Linked DNA regions of Sus scrofa. The protein of the gene in region 3 interacts with the protein of the main gene of each other region in a pairwise test. Links are inferred from orthologs where the notes say so. Each region holds a gene or a part of one and is shown on either strand. Other genes may lie near its edges. The genes, in order: TNFAIP1, FCHO1 and EXOSC5.

Region 1 (4,171 bases), on a different chromosome or scaffold from region 3:
AAACACTGACCATTAGTCATTCTCTCCTTAAGAGCCCAGGACTCCCTGGCAGAGGCTAAGGCCCTAGGTAATGGCAGAGGACATTCCTGCTGTTCTTCATGGCACCAGGAACCAGGTCTGGGAGCACAGCCTTCCAGAACCCAGGGCTGGTTGCCTCACCAGCTCTGGGCAGCAGGGAGGACAAGCACACCCTTGGAGCTAGTCAGAGACAGCTCCAGAAACAGGCTGGGCAGGACCCACCAGTCAGATTCAGCTGTTTTCTTCTCAAGGTTCCCAAGACCTAAGACTTGAAGCCAAACCTACTGGAATCCAGCCAGCCTAGGAGTTTCCCAGGAGTCTGAGGGACAGGATGCACTTCCTCTCTAGCGATTCCAGAGCAGCACAGCCCGCACCAGTGCTTCCTTTGACATCACCCAGAGTCTGGCTTCGGGCAGGCAAGTAAAAGCAGCTTTAGGAGAGCATGGATGGAGCCAGGCTGGAGGGAGCCAGCCAGTGTTCCTGGCAGAGGTCACCTGAGCTCCAGTCGGGGTTTCCTGATCTTCCCCCTTTTTTTTTTGGCATCAGCCCTGTCCCCAGTTCCTGAAATTGAAACCATTTTTCAGGCTAGAACAACGACAGGATAGCTATTTTTGGTTCTTTTTCCTAAGGGGGGGGCCCCAGCCCTCTCTCTTCCTGCCCAACAAGAATGGGGAGAAAGGGCTAGAAAAGGCCAGACGATAACTTGAAATACAGTAGGTGATTTGAAAACTGAAATGTTAAGAGGAGTTCATAGGAGGGAGGCGGGAGGAAAGCAGAGGAGGGCAAACCCAGGTCACCCCTCGCGATCTGGATTCTACATCATATGTCCTGGTTTTCTAAAGTAACACTAAAATTCATTCACTGAAAGAAAAAAAAACAGCCAACATTCTCTGCGTGTTTACTATGTTCCAGGTACTATTCTAAGCATTTAATATATATCAGCTCATTTAATTCATTTGGCAATAAAACAATATCGTGTGCCTTCGAGGTTAAGTAGTGGGGAGAGAGAGATGAAAAGATATTGTCCTTGCCTTCAGGAAGTTCAAAGAAGCATGATAATGTTACCAAGAATAAAACTAATAAGAATTAGCATTTATTATGCTCCTGCTTTGTGCTGGGTGCCTGGGATACAGAAGTGAACAAACAAGTCACAGCCTCTGGGAGTTTACGTTCTAGTGGGAAGAAACAGGCAACAAACAAGAAAATAAATAAATGAGCAGGTAATTCCAGAAGGTGAGAAATGTAATAAAGACAATAAAACAGAGATAAGAGAGTGACTACAGAGAGGCACTAATTTAGATGGGGAATCAGGGAAAGCATCTTAGGGTAGGTGACGTTCCAGCTGAGGTCTGAAAGAGCATTCCAGAGAGATGCTCTTACAGAATAGTAAGTGCAAAGCTCCTCAGACACAAGTTTTAGTAACAGAAATAAGGGCAAGATGGCTGGTGCACAGCAAGAAGGGGCAAATGGGCTGGATCATATTGGAGAGTTTGGGTTTTATACTAATTGCAGTGGCATTGAGTGTAGGGTTTAGAGCTGGGGAGTGACAGAATCTGCGATCATTCTGCTGCTGTGAGGAGAATGGATTGTAGGGTGCAGACGGAGGAAGAGTTGGCAAGAGAGGATGAAGACCTGGACTACAGTGGTGGTGATGGAGTCAGAAAAAAAAAAGTGAAATGACTTCATCATCATCTCCTCTAAGTCTAACCCAGAAATGTGCTTAGCAGAATGCTATGCACATTCTGAAGTATTTAATATGTCAGTGTGTTAGACTGAAATTGTCCCTGAAAAGATTTAGGTAGGTCCCTGTGAAGAGAGTCCAAGGAAGCGCCAGAGCAGGTGCTGTATGAAATGCCGAATTCCTCTGGTGGCTGGTTCAGTAGGGATGAGATGAGCCCCCACCAGCGGATTGCCCAATCAGTAAGTAAACCTGAATGGTATGAGGTCACCTTACCTTCCTCCGCCCACCCCAAAGGAATAAATCCACCCCTTAACAGCGGCTGCCAACAGAGGAAGACAAATCCAAGCTAATCTCTTCTTTTTCCTACAAAGCAATTGCTTTGAGCCCATGGATGACATCAGCCCAGATTCCACCCGCTCAGATTCCGCCCAGGCCAATGGGTTCCTGGAATCCTGTGGCAGGTGACGCCCCAGAAAGTAATTCCAGTGAGAATGAAGTTTCCACTGAGAGCCTCAGTGCTCTTCCTTCCGGACTTTGTGTGTGGGTATTTGGGGATGCTAGGGGCGTATCCGTGTCACGCTCGGTGAAGCTAATGGGAACCCAAGCCGAATAAAGGCCAAACAAACAAGGCGGTGATAGAAGTGGGGTCCTAAGGAAAGAAGGTCCGAGAAACCCATCACACGGAGCATGGCGAGAGGAGGAGCCGATCCCCTACAGAGGGGGGAATCTAGCAGAAATCCAAGGGTGTAAATCCAAGCGTGTAAATCTCATGCTTCAGCCAAAGGGTTTGGGGAAATTTAGCGAGACTCAACCTCTCTGTGGCCACTGTAGAGTCTTCCTCAACCCGTACCCCGCCTCACCACCGAGAAACCGAGACCGGCTCTAACACCCACCCAAAGGATTTGAGATCTCCACCTCCCTTCGCCGTCCCACGCCTTTTCCCCAGGACCGGGTAGGGTTCTCTTGGCTCAGCCCAGGACCCGTCCATCCCTTCCCCTAGGGCATGGGCAGACTCGGCTCTCACCCTCCCTGGTGGCGCTTCTCCTCTCAGCTGGGTTGCAAGTCGACACCGCGCCGCCCCTAGACCACCGCTTGCCCGCCAGCAATCTCGGGCGGTAAACTCACATTCACCACCCCCGGACTCCGCCCCCAGGCGGCCAGGGCCTGAGACTGTGAGGCCGGGCAGACATAGCACCCAATCAGGGCGGAGGGAGGAGCCCCCAAGAGTATTCCGCAGCGAGCGTACACCTACTTCAGGCCGACTTTCCGGCGCAAAGACCTCTGGGTCTTGTAGGCAGCCATCCCTCTTCCCAGGCCTCTGTCTCCCAGCATGCTCTGCCAGCTGGATGGGTGTAAGTGCTTCCTGTGCCCGGAAGTGACGTTAGGCGTAAACAGGTCTTGTAGCCGTGGCAGCGGCTGAGGCAAGCTGGCTGGCTGGGTACCGGCTGCCCTGACGCGAGAGGGGAGTTGCCTGCGGACCTCAGCCTGAGCCGCAGGCGCTGCCGCTGCGGGGTGGACAGGTAGGCTGTGACTTCGGGTCGGGGATGGGCCCGGGGCAGGAAGAGCCTGACAGGCCCGCGCCCCGAGGAAAAGCAGTCCCAGGGCGAAAGAAATGTGGGAATTCCTCCCGACTCTGGGAGCGGTTTTACCCGGGCTTGGGCCTCGAGCTTTTCGCTCTGACGCTCGCAACCCTCCTAGGAGGAAACTGCGGCTCAGATAAGTTCAAGGAGTTTACGTAGTGAAGACAACCAGCCCCATCACCCAGCTTTTCCTAACTTTCTCCACACCGCGCGGGTGGAGGTAGCGGCCAGCGTAGAGCCAGAGCCAGGGTGGTGGTGGGGATGGTGGGGGGACGAGAGCGCGACGTCCTTCTCATCTTCAGGGAACTCAATTCGGCCTTTATACCCAGTGTTCCTCAGATGAGCGTGCGGTGGGAGTTGGGAGAGAATCCGGTAGTCGGCTGCGAACCCTCTCTCTCCACTTCTTCAGGCCCGATCCATCTCATTCAACCATCCCTTCCAACCATACATCTGGCTCAAGCCAGATGCATGGGAATCTTACCTGACTCTCCTTCACTCCTCTCCAAACCCCTACTTTCATTCATCCTTTACTAAGTCCTATCAACTCGACTTTACCAAACAATTCGGAACACTTTCCTTCAGCTCCAAGCCTTGGTTACTGTAATAGCCTGCTCTGGTGTTTTTGTTTTTCTTGCCTCTTTTTAGGGCCGCACTCGCCGCATATGGAGATTCCCAGGCTAGGGGCTGAATCGAAGCTACAGCTGCCGGCCTACACCACAGCCACACCAGATCGGATCTGCCACCTACACCACAGCTCACCTCAACACGTGGGATCCTTAACCCAATGAGAGGGGCCAGGGATCTAACCCTCAACCTCATGGTTCCTAGTCAGATTGGTTTCTGCTGCGCCACAATGGGAACTCCTAGCCTGCTCTGTTTTAGCAGTCATTCA
Region 2 (3,647 bases), on a different chromosome or scaffold from region 3:
TATCTAGACATTTTCAAATTGGTCTTTTGCTCAACAACACTCAAAGGCTCCCTTGGGCTTCAGGGTAAAGTCTGAGAGGCTGACCTTGGCATTCAAGGCCCCTCTGATATCTGGTTGTAAGAGATTTACACATAAGATCTGGCATCAAATCCTCTTCCTCTGTGGGTTGCTGACTTAGATCTGTCATCAGCCCATTTTCCTGATGAGGAAAAATGAGGCCCAAGGAGACTCATTCTCTCGCTTCTTGAGTCCTGTTCTTTCCCTATAGCTGTGGCTCCATGGCCCAACCCGCACAGATGCCCCAACTCACCAGGCTTCTCCCGGCCTGTGCCCTTGCTTTCTGCAAACTTTCTCAGCAGCATCTCCACACTGACGTTTTCTATGTTCTGCTTAAACTCCTCATGCACCTGGGCCAGGCGGATGGGGTGTGTAACCAGGCAGGGCCAGGGCCCTCTTGCCCAGCACCCCAGCCTTGTTCCCCGGACCCAGCCCCACTCACCTGCCCAATCTGCACATGGGTGTCCTCCACTGAGTGGGCATAAGAGCCCAGAAGTGCCTTCATTTGCCGCAAGTGGGTCTCCTCCATGGCTTGGAAGCGCTGAGGCAGGAGGGGAGGGACCAATGGGAAGGTGGCAGGTGGAACCACAAGGAGTGGCTGTGTGACCCAGCCTGACCAACCAGAACATTCCAACCCCCTGGCCTCAGTGATTGGTTTGGGGAAGAGCCCTGAGACTTTTGCTGGAACTATAGAGAAAAACACTTTCATACCCTGAGCTAAGGAGTTGGTGGATGCATGGGGTGGGGGGGGGGGAACTTGCTGGTGGCTACTTTGCTACACACACACACACACACACACACACACATATCCAGGAGGGCATGTCTGCCTAGGAGTGAAGACCTCAGGGAGAAAAACAGACTTAAGAAGCAGAGAGGTACAACTTACTGCCACACCATTTGAGTACCTGGACCCAGCCATGCCTGAAGCCCTTCCTCAAACTGTTCAGTTCCCTTAGCCTATAAATCTCCTTGCCAGTTCTTTTTTGGCCGCACCTGTGGCATGTGGAAGTTCCTGGGCCAGGGACCAAACCCATGCCATAGCAGCAACCTGAGCCACAGAAATGATGATGCTGGATCTTCAACCCACTAGACCACCAGGGAACTCCTCTTTGTCAGTTAGAATGAAAATTTGTATCACTTGCAACTTTCTATCACCACAAAATAAAAAAAAAACAAAAAACAAACGACGGGAACTCCCAAAAAAAAAACCTGATTCTTAATCCTGAGATCCCAATCTGCTTTTTAAACATTTGGGTGGACAGAGACCCAGAGAGGTGTGGTGTCTTGTTAAAAGTTGCACAGCTGATGAGAGATGAAGGCTAGACCAGGCCACCATGACATGTCTCAGCATCTAAACTCTGCCTGATCTTATTAAAAAACTCATTAATAATAATAAAAATAGGAGTTCCTGTTGTTCTCAGCGGGTTACAAACTTAGCTGATATCCATGAGGATGCAGGTTCAATCCCTGGCCTCACTCAGTAAGTTAAGGATCCTGCATTTCTATGCCTGTCACATAGGCCAGCAGCTGTAGCTCTGATTCAACCCCCAGCCTGGGAACTTCCATATGCTGCCAGTGTGGCCCTAAAAAGCAAAAAGAAAAAAAAAATAGAAAGAAATAGTAATAATAATACTTCACAGAGTGGTTTCTATGCACTCAGTACTAGTCTGAAAACTTCACATATTGTGACTCATTTAATCTTCACAACAACTCTGTGAAGCAGGTTCTATTATTATTATTATTATTATTTTTGTCTTTTTAGGGCCGCACCCAAGGCATATGGAGGTTCCTAGGCTAGGGGTCCAATAGGAGCTGTAGCCACTGGCCTACATCACAGCCACAGCAAAGCCAGATCCTTAACCCACTGAGAAAGGCCGGGGATCAAACCTGAGTCCTCATGGATGCTAGTCAGATTCGTTTCTGCTGCGCCACGACGAGAACTCCGAAGCAGGTACTATTATTATTGTCCCCATTTACAGATGGGGAAACTAAGGCACAAAAGTGATTTGGTTTTTGAAATAATATCGCTACCAACAATACAATAGTTAACTGGCTCTAGAATTCTATGGCTTTAAGTCTGTGATTCTAAGGCTCCTGGAAGTTGACGTTTGGGAGGTTCTGGACTTCTGAGGCCCATAGCATCCTGGGCCCAGAAATGTGTGGGTCTCCAAGTTATGAATGCCCGATGCTTACCAGAGCCGAGTCCAGCATCTTCTGTTCGAAGTCAGCGCGGGCTGAGTTGTATTTCTCCACTGAACGCCGCAGGCTCTCTGCCGCCTTCTTGGTCTTGGCCTCTGCCTAGGAGGCCCAGGGGGAGGAAGGGGCTGGGAGAGGGACATTCAGGACACTCCCCCCATCCCCTCCCCCTAGCAGGTGGACTCCTTGGGTCTACCCAGGAGTGTGGTTCATGCAGGTTCAGTGATCCTTGCTGTATAATATGTTTTTCACTTTCTTAACAGGCAGCCCCACCACCCCTGGGCAAATTCCTCATTTCTGTGTGGGCTAGTGGCATCTGGGAACCTGCAGCCACGTGCCCACCTTGTCCATCTCCTTCTGGCTGGTGCTCTCCCTCCGCAGCCGCTCCTGGTCCATGCAACGATTCAGGTAGTTCTCGCGGGACTTGGGCAGGAGCTGGCTGACGCCTGCAAGGACCTGCACGGCATCCAGGGTACCCAGCGCTTCCTCTTTGCACTGGGGAGATGGGGAAAAAAAGAGCGTGGTGGGGGGGTCCACTTGAAGCCCCTGCTGGGACGCAGGACCTGAGCAGACCTGTGACTTTCCCAGCTTCCAAAACTCTGGGATTCCAGGTCCTACAGAGTACTTTTTTCGAGTATTCTATTAATTAAAAAAATTTTTTTTTCCTTTTTTGGGCTGTACCTGTGGCATATGGAAGTTCCTGGGCTAGGGGTCAAATTGGAGCTGCAGCTGCAGCCTACACCACAGCCACAGCAATGAGACTTATGCTGAAGCTCACAGCAACACTGGATCCTTAACCCACTGAGCAAGGCCAGGGATCGAACCCATATCTTCAGAGACGCTAGTGAGATTCTTAACCCGCTGGGCCACAATGGGAATGCCTTTAACTTCAAAAGCTTAAATATTTACACATAATTCACATTTCGGAAAGTTTTCAGGGGTGAGCTCAGGTAAAAACCTCCCACACCCTCCCTGATCCCCAGCCTCCCAGGCCTCTGCCTAGGAGTTTCCCATTATCATCATATGTCTCCAGAAATAATTGGCTCATAGACCAGCAAATGTGCTTGTGCTAGCCCATTTTTTGGGACAAATGGTGACAGTCCATATTGCTTAGTTCACAAGTTTTTCCCACTGAATCCATTCCCAAGATTGTTCCACATCAGCCCATTGAAAAATTTCTTTGTTCCCTAATTTTATTATTTTTGGTTTTTGTTTTTTTGTTTTTTCAGGCTACATCTGCAGCATATAGAGGTTCCCAGGCTAGGGATCGAATCAGAGCTATAGCTGCCAGCCTACACCACAGCCACAGCAACACGGGATCTGAGCCATGTCTGCGACCTACACCACAGCTCATGGCAATTCCACTGAGCAAGGCCAGGGATCAAATACGTGTC
Region 3 (3,082 bases):
CTGGCCTGGGGACTTCCATATGCCACAAGTATGACTGGCACAGAAGGTCAAGGTTCGGGGGTTGTCACTGCAATGGCTTGGGTTGCTGCTGTGGCACAGAATACGCCCATTTTCAAAAGCCCTTGTGAGATGCTGCCACCCGTGACTGAGAACCAACAGACCTCAGCCACCCCCGTTCACAGGCAGGGAAGCAAAGTGCAGAGTGTACCAGACCCGCATCTCCCGGGTTTGCCCGAACAGTGGAGGCTCTGGGTATAGGTTCTGAGTGGGACCCATGCTCCACCACTAACCAGCTGGTGACCTCTGGCAGTTAACTGGCTTCTGAGCTTGTTTTCTTACAAAGGGACTATAACAGCCCAACCACACCCTTTTTGAGTGAGTAAAAGCAGCACGCAGAGGCCAGACTCCCCTCCGAGGCCCTCAAAACCCGCTGCCAGGGGGTCATCTCCCCAGGTATCCACTGAGCGCATCCCGGCTTCCTCCTGGGCTTCCCTCAGACTCCTCCCATGAAGGTGCCCCAGACTGTATTCCATCTGCCTTCCCCAAATGAACTCGCTGAAACCCTCTTCCCTGCTTTTCTTTTTTCAAAATAGCATTTACCACTCTCCAACAAACACAAATTTTATTTGTCTATCACAGCACTGCTTCTCAAAACCCAGGACCTGGGTCCCATACATTGCCATGGCCTCAGCACCTGGTAGGGCCCACACACTGTAACAGGCCTTGCAGGGCTGTTGAGATGAGTAGGTTCATTCAATAAATGCACAATCCGTTTTCTTGGGGTGGGGCAGACCCTGGGGCTATTAGCCACACATTCCTGGCAGGTTAGGGGCTCCTGCAGTGACAGAGCCACAAGCTCACCCCCACGCACAAGGACAGACAGGCAGGGCCGGGCTGCTGGTTTAGTTGGTACTGGAGGGAGTGGGCGGTGGCGGGAGGGGCACCTGCCCTGGCCTGCCTCAGCTCTTGGCTGCCTCAGCTCTTGGAGTAACGCCTCTGCAGCGATTCCCGGTAGAAGCGGAAGACGTGTTGGGAGGCAGTCTGGGCTGCAGCCAGGCACTGCTGGAGCTGGAAGGAGAGCTGGGTGGGTGCTGGGGGGCCAGGAGGTTCCCCCGGCCCCACCTGACCCCCAGAACCCACAAACCTACTACCCCCCTTCACTGGGTGTCCCCCTCACCCCAGCGAGGCAGGGGGGTGAGGGAAATTACAAGTGTATTTCCTTCTTCCCCACGTCCCGGGCTCCTTGGGGGCGGGGGAACGGGGAAGGCTTCAGGGGTCAGATTCCATCAGTTCCAGGGCAATGGTGCTCAGATTAACAGGATCAGCCATCCTGACCCCTGGAAGCGATTCCAACCTGCCGGGCTCTGGAATCAGAGATTGGAATTTCAGAGCTACAGAATCCAAGCCCCCACATCTTTACTGCCATGTGTGCCTGGACTCACAGGAAGGCCAGGTGGGCAATGCTCCTGGAGACCACCTGGCCCAACAGTGGCCACTCTGTTTTTCAGACACCCTGAATTCCAGAGCGTGCAGCTCTGAGCTGGAAGCTGGAAGGCCTTCAGGTGCTCCCAGCTCCTGATTTCAACCTGAGCCCCTCCTCTCTTCTCATAAACTGGGCTCCCTTTAAAAATTCCCAAAGGTCTCTAAGGCTAAAAGTTTGAAAACGCCTCCTATTTACAGAAGGCAGGCATGGAAGGGGCTCTCCTTAAGCCTCTCAGGGTTGGAATAGGGCCTCTTATCAGGTGGACAGGAAGGACCTGGCTTTCACCCCGTTGCAGGCTGGTACCTCAGCATCTGAGTAGAGTCCCTTGGTGGTGGACATCAGCAGCTTCCGTTCCACACTGTCAAGAGCAAAGGTCAGGACCGCCCGGGCCTCCTAGGGACAAGGGGTACAAGGTGGGGGACCTGGGACTCTCCCCTCAGCCACAATCTCAGTTGTCTCAAAGAGGGGGGCTTACTTTTACAATTTTTCTTTTCAGGGCCACACCTACGGCATATGGAAGTTCCCAGTCTAGGGTCTGAATTGGAGCTGCAGCTGCTGGGCCTACACCACAGTCATGTGGGACCCAAGCTGCCTCCATGACTTACTGCAGCTTATGGCAACACCGGATCCTGAACCCACTGGGCGAGGCCAGGGATCAAACCCACATTCTCATGAACACTAGTGATTTTTTTTGTGTGTACATACTACCCCGTCCCTGCTCCCCCGGGAAATGGTTGCCCACACGACTCTACCACATGGTTCTGACAGGGGCTTCTGAGCACTGTATCCTGGGCCACAGGGCAGCCATGTGTCGGTCATTCGCCTGTGTCTCCCAGCCTCCCCTTGTTGCTCTGTGCCCCTGGGGCTGGAAGCCAGCAAACTGTATTTCCAGATTCTCCTGCTAGTTAGGTTTCCCCAGGAATCTGGTGGGAGACTGGAAGGAAGCAGAGCAGCATCCTGGTCCTTGTAGTAGCAGGAGTTTGGGGTATATTGCCTGCCATGGAAACCGTACCAGTGTCTCCAATAGCACAGAGCAGGAGTTGGCTTCAGGGCGCCTAATCTCTGGGCGTCCTCCCTTCTTTTTTTGCTTTCAGTTCTTCCAATATGATTGTAATCAGTTCCCTGCATTAAATTCCCTCTGTCTGAAATCCCCCAAGGGGTTTTGGCTTTCCCACCTGGATGTGACTGTTTCAGTCTTGGGCAGATAACTAGGAATAACCAGAGCCCCAGCACACTATGAACTTGAGCCAGTGAAGAAAAAGCTCTCTCCTTCTTTGCTTCTGCACCTCTTAAAATCATTTCTCTTTTTGTTGAAGTGGGCTAGAGTTGGGTTTCCAGCACTTGCCCAGATGAATGGAGCAGAGCTTGCCAGCTGGGACTGAAGTGGTACAAGCCAACCATTTTGTTTTTTTTGTTTGTTTTTTGGTCTTTTTAGGGCCACACCCACAGCACATGGAGGTTCCCAAGACAGGGTGAATTGGACTGCAGCTGCGGCCTACACCACAGCTCACGCCAATGCTAGATCCTTAACCCACTGAGCGAGGCCAGGGATCGAACCTGCATCCTCATGGATGCTAGTCAGATTCATTTCTGCTGAAC

The links.
Region 1: the proteins of EXOSC5 (region 3) and TNFAIP1 interact in binary tests that used the Homo sapiens proteins (3 or more experiments, as listed by UniProt). The two-hybrid records come from large-scale screens. The link is inferred for Sus scrofa from reciprocal best matches to the Homo sapiens genes EXOSC5 and TNFAIP1.
Region 2: the proteins of EXOSC5 (region 3) and FCHO1 interact in binary tests that used the Homo sapiens proteins (3 or more experiments, as listed by UniProt). The two-hybrid records come from large-scale screens. The link is inferred for Sus scrofa from reciprocal best matches to the Homo sapiens genes EXOSC5 and FCHO1.

The regions. Positions count from the first base shown.
Region 1 is NC_010454.4:44,615,581-44,619,751, reverse strand, and holds the start of TNFAIP1 (BTB/POZ domain-containing adapter for CUL3-mediated RhoA degradation protein 2), read right to left. Parts: upstream 2,913-4,171; 5' UTR 2,724-2,912; intron 1-2,723. UniProt on the Homo sapiens protein: Substrate-specific adapter of a BCR (BTB-CUL3-RBX1) E3 ubiquitin-protein ligase complex involved in regulation of cytoskeleton structure.
Region 2 is NC_010444.4:59,969,849-59,973,495, forward strand, and holds part of FCHO1 (F-BAR domain only protein 1), read right to left. Parts: intron 2,749-3,647; coding exon 2,596-2,748; intron 2,356-2,595; coding exon 2,251-2,355; intron 599-2,250; coding exon 500-598; intron 408-499; coding exon 311-407; intron 1-310. UniProt on the Homo sapiens protein: Functions in an early step of clathrin-mediated endocytosis. Has both a membrane binding/bending activity and the ability to recruit proteins essential to the formation of functional clathrin-coated pits.
Region 3 is NC_010448.4:49,372,773-49,375,854, forward strand, and holds the end of EXOSC5 (exosome complex component RRP46), read right to left. Parts: intron 1,877-3,082; coding exon 1,787-1,876; intron 1,069-1,786; coding exon 976-1,068; 3' UTR 606-975; downstream 1-605. UniProt on the Homo sapiens protein: Non-catalytic component of the RNA exosome complex which has 3'->5' exoribonuclease activity and participates in a multitude of cellular RNA processing and degradation events.